3 linked regions of the Callithrix jacchus genome follow. The protein of the gene in region 3 binds, or shares a complex with, the protein of the main gene of each other region. Links are inferred from orthologs where the notes say so. Each region holds a gene or a part of one and is shown on either strand. Other genes may lie near its edges. The genes, in order: WASHC4, WASHC3 and WASHC5.

Evidence for each region.
Region 1: WASHC5 (region 3) and WASHC4 share a complex: the UniProt entries of both Homo sapiens proteins name them as parts of the WASH core complex. The link is inferred for Callithrix jacchus from reciprocal best matches to the Homo sapiens genes WASHC5 and WASHC4.
Region 2: WASHC5 (region 3) and WASHC3 share a complex: the UniProt entries of both Homo sapiens proteins name them as parts of the WASH core complex. The link is inferred for Callithrix jacchus from reciprocal best matches to the Homo sapiens genes WASHC5 and WASHC3.

The regions. Positions count from the first base shown.
Region 1 is NC_133510.1:108,060,010-108,063,662, reverse strand, and holds part of WASHC4 (WASH complex subunit 4), read right to left. Parts: intron 3,035-3,653; coding exon 2,981-3,034; intron 2,891-2,980; coding exon 2,825-2,890; intron 2,060-2,824; coding exon 2,014-2,059; intron 1,574-2,013; coding exon 1,506-1,573; intron 533-1,505; exon of another isoform or gene 363-532; intron 1-362. UniProt on the Homo sapiens protein: Acts as a component of the WASH core complex that functions as a nucleation-promoting factor (NPF) at the surface of endosomes, where it recruits and activates the Arp2/3 complex to induce actin polymerization, playing a key role in the fission of tubules that serve as transport intermediates during endosome sorting.
Region 2 is NC_133510.1:105,101,458-105,105,538, forward strand, and holds the start of WASHC3 (WASH complex subunit 3), read right to left. Parts: upstream 2,877-4,081; 5' UTR 2,797-2,876; coding exon 2,746-2,796; intron 2,190-2,745; coding exon 2,091-2,189; intron 1-2,090. UniProt on the Homo sapiens protein: Acts as a component of the WASH core complex that functions as a nucleation-promoting factor (NPF) at the surface of endosomes, where it recruits and activates the Arp2/3 complex to induce actin polymerization, playing a key role in the fission of tubules that serve as transport intermediates during endosome sorting.
Region 3 is NC_133517.1:72,328,134-72,331,786, reverse strand, and holds part of WASHC5 (WASH complex subunit 5), read right to left. Parts: intron 420-3,653; coding exon 316-419; intron 1-315. UniProt on the Homo sapiens protein: Acts as a component of the WASH core complex that functions as a nucleation-promoting factor (NPF) at the surface of endosomes, where it recruits and activates the Arp2/3 complex to induce actin polymerization, playing a key role in the fission of tubules that serve as transport intermediates during endosome sorting.

The sequences.
Region 1 (3,653 bases), on a different chromosome or scaffold from region 3:
GGCATGGGCATTAGTTTCACGGGGCTTCTCCAAGCCCCCAGATCCTGGCAATCCCAATCTTTTTCCTTTTAGTTCCCTGGATGTTTAGTTCTGTTTCCTTTGGACTACGTCAGTATTTTCTTTGTCCTCCAACTCCTGGGTAACCAATTCTCTATACTGAATCCCCTCTCTTATTTAAATAAATGTTATTGTGTATATTTAAGGTATACAACATGTTATGGGACACATACTGATAATAAAAAGGTTACTAGTGAAGCACATGAACAAATCCATCATCTCACATAGCTAAATCATTTTTTTGTGGCAAAAGCAGTTAAAATCTACTCACTCAGCATGAATCCCATATATGGTAGCTTTATTACCTGTAATCCTCATGTTGTACATTAGATCTCTAGACTTAGTCATCTTACATATTTGCTATTTTGTATCCTCCAAGCTACATCTTTTGAAATACCTTGTATGGAGTTTTCTAGACAGGACCCTGAATAACACAGATCATAATATCAACAAAATGCTCTCAATTAGATCAAATAGACCAAAAAAAAAAAGTAGTAAAGATATAAAAGATTTGAACAGTACATGTTAACATGCCTGATTTGATGAAATACAAATTTTGTAACCAATCAGACTAGAGGTGGGACTATGAGTATTTTTTCCTTAGCTTCAATTTTTGCTTTTTTTTCACATTGTACATGCATTATTATTTTTTTTAAAGACGGAGTGTCGCTCTTGTTACCCAGGCTGGAGTGCAATGGCGCGATCTCGGCTCACCGCAACCTCCGCTTCCTGGGTTCAGGCAATTCTCCTGCCTCAGCCTCCTAAGTAGCTGGGATTACAGGCACGCGCCACCGTGCCCAGCTAATTTTTTGTATTTTTAATAGAGACGGGGTTTCACCATGTTGACCAGGATGGTCTCGATCTCTTGACCTCGTGATCCACACACCTCGGCCTCCCAAAGTGCTGGGATTACAGGCTTGAGCCACCGTGCCCGGCCCATGCATTATTTTTAAAATAAAGAGAGGAGGAAATAGAAGCTATTTTATTCGTTTGATCAAGAGTAAGCCAAAGGACGTACAATCACTAAAACTTGGCAGTGACGAAAAGCTGTCTAAACTGAAACAAGCTGTTAGAAGCATCGAGGGCTACCACTTTAAAAACTTCATCATTGCTCATGTAACAGCTTAATCTTCTCCATTAACAAGTTTTCTTGATGTAATTTATCTTTTCCAGTGGGTACAAAGTTTAAATTATTTTGAAAGGCATGGGGACAAGTTGTCCATAAAGGAAAATATACAAAGAAACCTATTTTGATAGTCTTTTTCCACTAGAAATATGTGGAAATCTTTTAGGAGTTGCGATCTCCCCAACTATAATGCAACGCTAATTAAGTGTCTTATCCTCAAAGTACACATCTTTAGTATTTGAAAGGTTCAGAACTTTTTAAGTGTTGTGTAATTTACTTAAACTTCAATGTAAAAGCTCAGTAGAAAGTAAAAATCAGTTACCTGTAAGAATGAAATAAATCGCCCCATTTGAATTTGACAATCACCTTCCACCATGCTGGCATCCGTAGCTGTAAAAGGCAATATGAATAAGTGTATTTCATTTTTTAAATTTAAACTCAATCAACACCAAAAAAGGAGAAAAAAGTGATTTTTTTTTCCATTGACACATCTTTTACTCCACAGAATATTGAAAACAGAATTTTTACACCAAAGAGAAAAATGAGGCAATCACTAATCAAATAATTAAAAGTATTTGCTTAACTAATGAATTCAAGGAAAATTATCATCTAGCTATGGTACTTTATAACATACAAATATATCACAAATTTTCTGCTGTTCCATCAGATTTTTTTACCCATTTACCAAACAAACATACCAACAAAAAATACAAATGTTTATTTTCTCACACTAATATATAATCATAGTAGTCCTGAAATTGTCTGTTAATTTTTTTTTCATTTCATTATCAAAAAAGGCATCACATTACAATTTTGAATTTTAAACTTACCTCCTTCTCCATAAAACAAGAGACCATTGTAAAATTTAGTTTCAGCCTGTTTTTAAGAAAAAATTAAAATAATTTTAAAGGTTGTTTTGTTTTGAAATTCCTATGCTCTCTTAGATCTGCATATTTAGTAATAAACAGAGGACTACATCATTTACATACAAATTCATTTAAATTCAAAAACTGCTTATGAAGCAATTCATCTTTAGAGTAACAAAAATATTACTGATACTCAAAGCTGTATCTTGATTCCTTTAGCCTTTACTTCATCTTACCTGACCACTCTCACTGTCCAACATCCTCTCATTAGTTCATGGGAAATACAGAGCAACCGCACAGCATCAAAAAGCAAGAGAATAAAATATGAAGTTTGCCAACTTCTACCAGAGTTTCATTGGTTCTTGGGTAAGGAAACACCAAACTAAATGCATACTAAAGACTGAAAGCTTTAAAAAAAAATCAGTTTTCTCTACATAGCCAGTATATATGGCAGGTAACACAGACTATGGAGGTTTGTAAACCTAGATTCAAACTGTTAATTACCAGTAAGATGTTAGGCAAGTGGCACTCTCTTTAAGCCTGTCATCATCAATGTCTCACCTACCTCCTGGGGTTACTAAAGGAATATAGTGTTATCCTGGTGTTTTGCACATACTATGTACTTAATGAATGGTAGTCAGTATTAGTATTATATTAAATAAATAATTCATTCAACATTCAATAAATATTTATTGCACACTGTATATATAAAAATATATACTTGCTTCTAAATTATCTGTTTTTAAAGTTTTAAGACAAGAATTCAAATAATTACCTCATATTTTAATTTCTTGATTTCACAACAAAGTGCAGCATAAACAGTGATGACTTTGTTTAAGACCTAGTTTCATGAGTAAAAACAAAATAAAAAGTAAATTGTAACATAACTAAAACCTTTTTCAAATACATTTTTAGATTTAGGATTCTGTACCTTGTTTTCAGTCTTTATGAGTTCCAAAAGAGAAGACTGTTCATAAGGCAAAAGCTATAGAAACAAAAGAAAAGAACATTTCTTTTTAATTTGAAAAATAACCGAAATTTTAAATACACAAATTGAAATTAGCTTTATTCTACTTAAACCTGTTTAGATCCTGTACTCAACATTAGCACCATAACAACTACTTCATCCAACACAATCTCATTAGACGACACATAAGGAAAGAAATGACCCAGTATGACTCAATCATGTTGCTACAACTCTAGTTGTCCTACAGAGCATAAGGTGGCTGATTATGAGTGCAGTATAAGAAAATGCAAGGTAGTAAGATAATACTAACATTACTAAACTCCATTAGTTATGATCATGAGGAAAAACCACTCATCATTTTTAAATTTTTTTTTTCTTTTGAGACCAAGTCTCACTCTGTCACCCAGCCTGGAGTGCAGTGGCGCAATCTTGGCTCACTGCAACCTCCGCCTCCCAGGTTTTAAGCAATTCTCCACCTCGGCCTCCTGAGTAGCTGGGATTACAGGCATGTGCCACCACACCTGGCTAATTTTTGTATTTTTAGTAGAGACAAGGTATCACCATCTTGGCCAGACTGATATTGAACTCCTGACCTCCTGTTCCACCTGCCTCAGCCTCCCAAAGTGATGGAATTACA
Region 2 (4,081 bases), on a different chromosome or scaffold from region 3:
GCTCACTGGGGATTTGTGAAGGAAGAGGAGATGACCCTAAGTACCCCTGTAACTTGGGTCTGATTCTACTACTTTCTCTGTCATCTAATCTCTCTTCTACTCTGGTGCCAATCAATGGAAGAGTTATAAAAGTAGCCTAATAGGCAGAAAGTGTTTGAAAAGTTGAGTTCTTCACAGAATGCAGTTTATACTCTTCTCTTTAGTGAAGAACTCTAAAAACAGTGTCACTGATGAGGAAAGAAGCCTAGCAATTTGTTTCAAACTTAATTCTGGCTTGAGAGTTTATCTGTGACTAAAGTTGCTTAAGTTTGGGTTTGGTTCAGACCAGATCCTGTGGCGGGTGGAAAAAGTTTCCTTTTTCCTCCCAGTTCACTTTCAGTTTAAAAACTAACAATTGAGATTCCTCTTTTGTTGAGAGAAACAGTCAGTTTGGTTCTTGTTTAAGGCTTTAAATAAACAAGGACTAGAGGCCATTAACAAAAAACATTTCAAAACACTGAAGTGACTTTAACTTGGGAGAAAATGGCACCTCACATTTGAATACACATATCCTTGGAATTTACATAAAAAATATTACATCAAACAGACATGGCACAGCAAAGAAGTGAATATGAATCTAAAAACAGATTTTAATATATCTATAAGAAGGTACTGGTACTGTACTCTCTCACTCGAAAATTACATAAACATGCTTCTTATTCAGATAAGGCAGTGCAATGTAAGAAAGTAATGAGATACAGACTTTTCCAGTTAAAAAATCAGTTGGAATCCAGTTCTGCTACGTTCTGTGTATGTGTAGTGAATGCAGCTACAACTAACTACTGGGGGCACACAAAGATATGTTGAATAAATGAATGACCAAGCAAATGATTTAAACTTCTCTGCATTTTAGTTTCTGTATCTGCACGAGTAGGATAACCAATCCTCTCTCAAAGGGCTGACTCTGATAATTAAATACACATAAAGCACTTAGTATGATGTCCGGCACAGAGTAAGTACACAATAAATATTAGTTGTCATGTCATTGAGCAGTCTCCAGCTGACACGAATGTCCAAATTGCCTAAATATATATTGTAGAAAATGAGTTACAGTCAACCTTAGATTATCATACATAAAGGAGAAAAAGGTGGGACAACAGCAAGATGGGGGAATAGGACTTCCCAGCACTCATTCTCCCACAGAAACATTCATTTGTAAAACTATTCACGCAAACTCCTGGGTGGTCTCAAACTCTCGGGTGCAAGTGATCCTCCTGCCTCTGCCTCCTGAACAGCTGGGATTACAGGTGCACACTGCTGTGCCAGTTCTGGTACCTGATCCCTAGTTGGGTACTTAATCCTTACATCACAAGTCATTCACAGAAAATATTTTTATTTCTATAATCATATTTGATGCCAAAGTCCTAGGCTATATCCTCTAGCCATCTTTTAGATTAGAATGTAAAATAATTTTAATAAAAACAATGCATTTCTGGGGTAGGAGAAGGAATTTCAAAATAAAAACTATTTTCAACTGTGAAATTTTAGAGGCTGGGCGCGGTCGCTCACACCCGTAATCCCAGCACTTTGAGAGGCCGAGGCGGGTGGATCACCTGAGATCAGGAGTTCGAAACCAGCCCAGCCAACATGGTGAAACCCCGTTTCTACTAAATACAAAAAATTAACCAGGAGAGGTGGTGCATGCTTGTAATACTGCTACTTGGGAGGCTGAGGCAGGAGAATTGCTTGAACTCGGGAGGTGGAGGTTGCAGTGAGCCGAGATCGCGCCACTGCACTCTAGCCTGGGCGATAGAGTGAGACTCCGTCTCAAAAAAAAAAAAAAAGAAAGAAATTTTAGATTTCCTTTTGTTCTCTTTAATTGCAATAAGCCTGACTGAACTATCTCATGAGGACTTCTAGAACACTAATTCACTAGAGGAGGGGGTGCAAGAAATCAGAGAAAAGAGGACTTAAGGTGTGTTAACACAATTGGTGACAAGAGATCATGGTACACGAATAAAGACTGTAATTCTTGTTTTACTCCATTTGTCAATCTCAGCAGTGCAACGTGATTTCTAGGCGACTCTATAAACCAGTATCACAGGACCTACCTCCTCACAAACTGTAGAAAAGCGGTTGAGGAACTGTACAGTGTGCACCACAAATTGGTTTAGAAAAGCCACTGTTCTTTTCTGTTGAATAGCTGGCACCTGTGTTACGTAAAAACAAACATGATTCATACAGGAGGAACGTACACTGTGCAAACCTTTTAATATCTGGACATAATCACGAGGCACTTTGCTGTGTGAGATGAATTTCTTGAAAGACTGTGAATAGTCATTAACTTGTTGTCCTAAACCGTAGGTGGGGTGTCCGAAGATGACAGAGAATGCACTAAAGTTTGAGACCAGGCTCTAGCGTCACTAGTATGAATTTTAGCAGGCAAAAGCCACACACATAAACACACATAAAAACTTGGGGCTGAATAAGAGGTAGGGCTAGCGATCACAACCGGCTTGTGTCGCCGGTGGCACCTAGAGACCCCCGACACCGGAAGCGAAAGTTGGGAGATGCACACCTTCTCCTTAATCAGCTCAGGAGGGACCCTATTTCAAGGTAGACGGTGGGGCTCTCCCTCCTGAGGCCGGCAGAAGGGCCTGGGGTCGGGACAGGGTGGGGCCCGGGAAGGTGGGGTCTCCCCGGGAAGCGGCGTCTTCCCCAACCTCCTCCCGGGTGGCCGGAAGTTTAGCACCGTCTTTTACAAACCTTGGTCAGGTCTATGCCTGACCCCATGAGAGGAAGCCCATCCTCATCCATCTCCTCAGCGGGCGGGGGACCCAGAGTTCACCCACAAACCCCGCCCAGATGGTGACCGCCCAACCTGGTAATCGTGTCTCAACTGTCCCCCACAAATCCCCGCCTCCGGGGCCCTTCCCGGCGGAAGAAAACGCCGCCGCCCACCAATCACTCGGGGCTTCCGGAGAGCCCGCCTCCTCGCTAGGCATTCTGGGATTGGTAGTTTAAGTCCAGATGGTGACGTTAATTTCGGGGTGGTGCGTGATGGTGCAAGGATGCAGTTATAGCAGTAAAATCTTAGAGGCGGGTAAAAACAAATAAACAAAAAAGCCAGAAATTGCGGGTCCTTTTGAGGTTATCCCTACTTAGTTCTGTTATATAACAGCTCCGTCATTCCTTGAGCAACAATTTTTAAAAAAATCCTAAGTGCCATATACTCTGCTAGCTAGGCCTTGCTGGGAAAACAAAGATTGAGTTCGATTGCTGCACTGGCAAGGTTTATGCTCTGAAGAACGAGATATAAGACGTACTTCTAAAGTGTGTTTGTGTGTGTGTGTGTGTGTCTGTGTGTGTGTTTGTGTGTGTGTATACACTAGTTCTCGCTATTTACCCAGGCTGGTCTCAAACTCCTGGCCTCAAGCGATTCTCCTGCCTCAGCCTCCCAGAGCGCTAGGATTACAGGTGTAAACCACCAAACCTAGTCTTCCAAAGGTTTTTAAAAGATGAGCATCAAAAAGATGAAGACATGGACCGAAGTGGGCAGTTTTGTTTTAAAGATGCAGGGAGGTGGAGTCTTGCTCTGTTGCCCAGGCTGGAGTGCCGTGAGGATCATAGTTCACGGTAGCCTCAAATTCCTTGACTCAAACGATCCCTAAGCAGTGGGATTATTATTTGGTGACTCTAATGAGCCACCAGCACCTGGCGCTCTTGGTTTGGTTGAAGCAAATGATCCCATAAATGGAGAATGGTAGGAAATGAGGTGGGAGTGTTACTGGTGGTGGGTATCCAGGTTCTTGATGCTTTGAACAAAGAATTGGACAAAACGCACCAAGCAAGGAAAGAATGAACCAAAAAAGCAGAGATTTATTGAAAACAAAAGTACACTGCACAGTGTGGGAGCAGGTGGGAGCTCAAGGGTCTGGATACAGAATCTTCTGTTTAAATATCCGCTAGAGGTTTCCCGTTGTCCACTTGTTGTTCTCCTCATGTAAATGAAGTGGTGACCCACAATCAGTCTGATTGGTTGTGAAAAACAACCAATCAGACACTGAAGTTACACCAGTCACATTCCTATGCAAACATCTGA
Region 3 (3,653 bases):
CTAGCAGTGGTCTGGTGTGTCTCTCACTCACTCTCTCTAATGGATTCATTTATTCAGCTGACATGTATTGAATCATGTGATCAGTAAATGTCAGCTGAAAAACAAATCCATTAGAGAAAGTGAGTGAGATACAGAGATACACGGAGGGGACAATAATGAGGAAAGAGGCTCCGGAAGACAGATTTGATTATCCATTGGCAAGGAAGCCTATAAATTCAGACCTCTCACCTAAAAGTAACTTAAAAGAGTAAGAAATGTGCTTAGATGATGAACAATCCAAGCCCACAGATGGCTGTTTCAAACCCTGGCACTTACTTATTGAGATTCTCCAGAGCAGCTGCCAGATGTTTAGAGTCAAACCGACAAGAATAATTTAATTCATTGGCAATCTGTTGTCTCAGAATCTGCATCTGCCCAACCTGTGCACAAGCAAGAGAAAGAATAGGTAGAATATTCAAGCATTTCAGAGTGACTGAGGAGGTAAACACAAAGATGGCAATTCTTCTCTGGGCCTTCACAACACTCTACAGGAAAAAAAATAAGGATTTCCTGGACTAATCTCTTGGCTAAGACTAGTACTGGACCTGATGGAGCACCAGAGGCCCTTCAAGGAATGTCTGGATGGACTCCCATACCCCAACCTATGGGAGTCATACCCCGAAAGTCTATGATTAACAAAGTGATCTATTAATGTTCAGTTGTTCATGTATCAAAGGTGTCTTTTTTGAAGCTGTATTTTTGACTTTTGGAATAAGTGCTCCGGGTTTAGTAGCTGCTGTGAGAAACCTTACTTCCTTTTATTTACCCTAAATGGAACTTTTTCAAGTCCTAAGAATGCCACTAGACCTTAGTATTCTCAAATTGGGTGAATATTAAGTCTGTCCATGCCACTCAGGATTATAGGTTATATAATTACCTGGATTACAAAATAATCTACATAAAATCTTTCATGAAAATTTTAACAATGATAGCCCCTTAATCCAGGAGTTCTTACATTTTATATCTGATATGGTTTGGCTATGTCCCCACCCAAATCTCATCTTGAATTGTAGTTCCCATAATCCCTATGTGTTGTGGGAGGGACCCAGTGGGAGGTAATTGAATCATGGGGGCAGTTACCTCCATACTGTTCTCATGATAGTGAGTTCTCATAAGATCTGATGGTTTTATAAGGGGCTTTTCTCCTATTGCTCATACTTCTCTTTCCTGCTGCCATGTGAAGAAGGACATATTTGCTTCCCCTTCCACGATGGCTGTAAGTTTCCTGAGGCCTCCGGAGCCATGCTGAACTGTGAGTCAATTAAACCTCTTTCCTTAATAAGTTACTCAGTCTTGAGTATGTCTTTATTATGTGACAATTGACTAATATAGCCTTGGGCCCCTTTGGGAATCTGGTGAAGCCTATGGATACCATTTCAGAATAATGCTTTTGAATGTACAAAATAAAGCATAGAGGGTAACAGTGGAAGCCAATTGTAATAAAATATAATTAACCATTCAAAAAACAAATCTGTGATATAGAATTATGCTAATATGGTGGATTAACTATGGTAATTTAAAAGTAGCTATGAGCATAAATGATATCTGGAGATTATCTACAATGGTTGGATGATAGGAAGCAATCTTTGGGTCAGGCTTGAGAGAGTTCAGTTTGACCTCATAATGTTGTCTACATCATAAGGTCAATAGCATACTCTAACTTTTTCTGCCTATAAATGTCTTATTTTCTACACTAGACAAGGTATTCCTAAAAGACTGGCAAAGGGGAGTGAGGGAGTAGGGGCAAGGGGGGAAGCCAATATTACCATGCAAGCACAATAAGGTGGAAATCAACAATTTCCTCTGAGTTGCTGGGGGCAGAGAAGAGTTAAGGAAAAGACAGTGGCTAAGGCCTGTAATCCCAGCACTTTGGGAAGCTAGGCAGGCTGATCACCTGAGGCCAGGAGTTCGAGACAAAGCCTGACCTAAATGGTGAAACCCCTTCTCTACTAAAATTATAAAAATTAGCTGGGTGCGGTGGTGGGTGCCTATAATCCCAGGTACTCGGGATTGTTTGAACCCAGGAGGTAGAGGTTCCAGTGAGCCAAGATTGTGCCACTGCACTCCAGCCTGGGTCACAGAGCAAGACTGTTTCAAAAAAAGAAAAAGAGAGTGGCCTTCTCTAAGAGTGAACAAAAGTTATTTAGCTGAATGGAGCTTGTAATGGTCAAAAGTGTTAAATGACCTCAGATGTATTATTTTTCAACACTATTCATATATTTTATTCTACTTATATGAAAAAAGTCAATCCAAAAATGCTATTTATAAATAAGAAGTCTTTAAATTTATAGAGTAGCATTATTTAAAAATCAGAATGCAGCAAAGCCAAGAAAATAGTAGGTTCTTTCAGGCCATGTAAAAATGACCCAGAAACCCTGTATCTAGCCCATATCATTCTTTGCTTAATTTTCTATGTCTAGTATACTCTATGTCAGGGATCCTCTTGAAAATATCAATCTAGAACTGGAAATAGAAATAAAGTCAGTTTAATATAACTTCCTCTCATTTAACTCACAATCAGTCTTTGTGAGTGACATTTTCCATTTTTGATACTCACAAACTTCAAGCTTTAATAAGCTGCTGGAGAGGCTAAGGAGCCTGGGATGGACGAGAAACTTATTTTACCCACTCACTTGCCTCTTTGAAGATATCTGGCTTACCATACTTTCTCCAAGACTTTTTTAGAGTTGCACTGTTGAGTATAGCAGCTACTAGTCACATGTGGCTATTTACATCTAATTAATATGAAATAAAATTTAAAATTATGTTTCCCAGTCCCACAACCCACATTTCACAAGCTCAACAGCTAGACAGGGCTGGGAACTGCTGTCATCATCAAATAGCACAGAACATTTCCACTGTCGTTTCTGATCATTAACACTGGCTCAGTGACTGCAAGCACCCTAATTCAAGACAAAAATACAAATTTGTCCTTGGGGCCTTTATTTAAAGATCACTGACTCAGACACAGTCACGTGGCCGATACTAATACTGGCAACTATAACTAATTAGGGTCTGTAACAGCTACTGGACTGAGAGAACCCTCTGGTGGACAAGGGAAAAACCTTCCAGTTTCTTGGAAGAATCCCTGTAATTCCCCCAATGTCTCCTACAGAGTTGGGACTCACAACTGTCCAAACATAAGTGATTTTTTATTCCTCCTAAAAGGTTTTCCAGCAATTAGAAACTTGGCCTGGGATGTGACAATCATGAGGCGAGGGGAAGGCAGACTCACATCACCAGAGGACATCGAGCAGAGCCACGGCTCCTTGCCTTACCCGTTCTGTTTAGTGATCCAAACAACAGCAACAACAGCTACAACTACTCACCAAAATTATGGGAAACATACTGTGAATGTGGCTGAGGTATCAACGAGTGCTGTCTCAATGAAACTTACATAACTGGGAATCAGAGAATGGAACTTTTCAAAATTCCCTTAGCATTCCAAAATTCTAGACTTTTCTACAGTATGTGATACTTTTAACTGCAAATCAGTTTTCCACCTGGAAGTCTACTCTTTTCTACTAGATTGTGAGTTGCTTTCTGAGGAGAGCAGTTGTGTTTCATTTAACTCTGTCTCTCACAACAACTGACAATGCCCTGGGTTTAAGGGA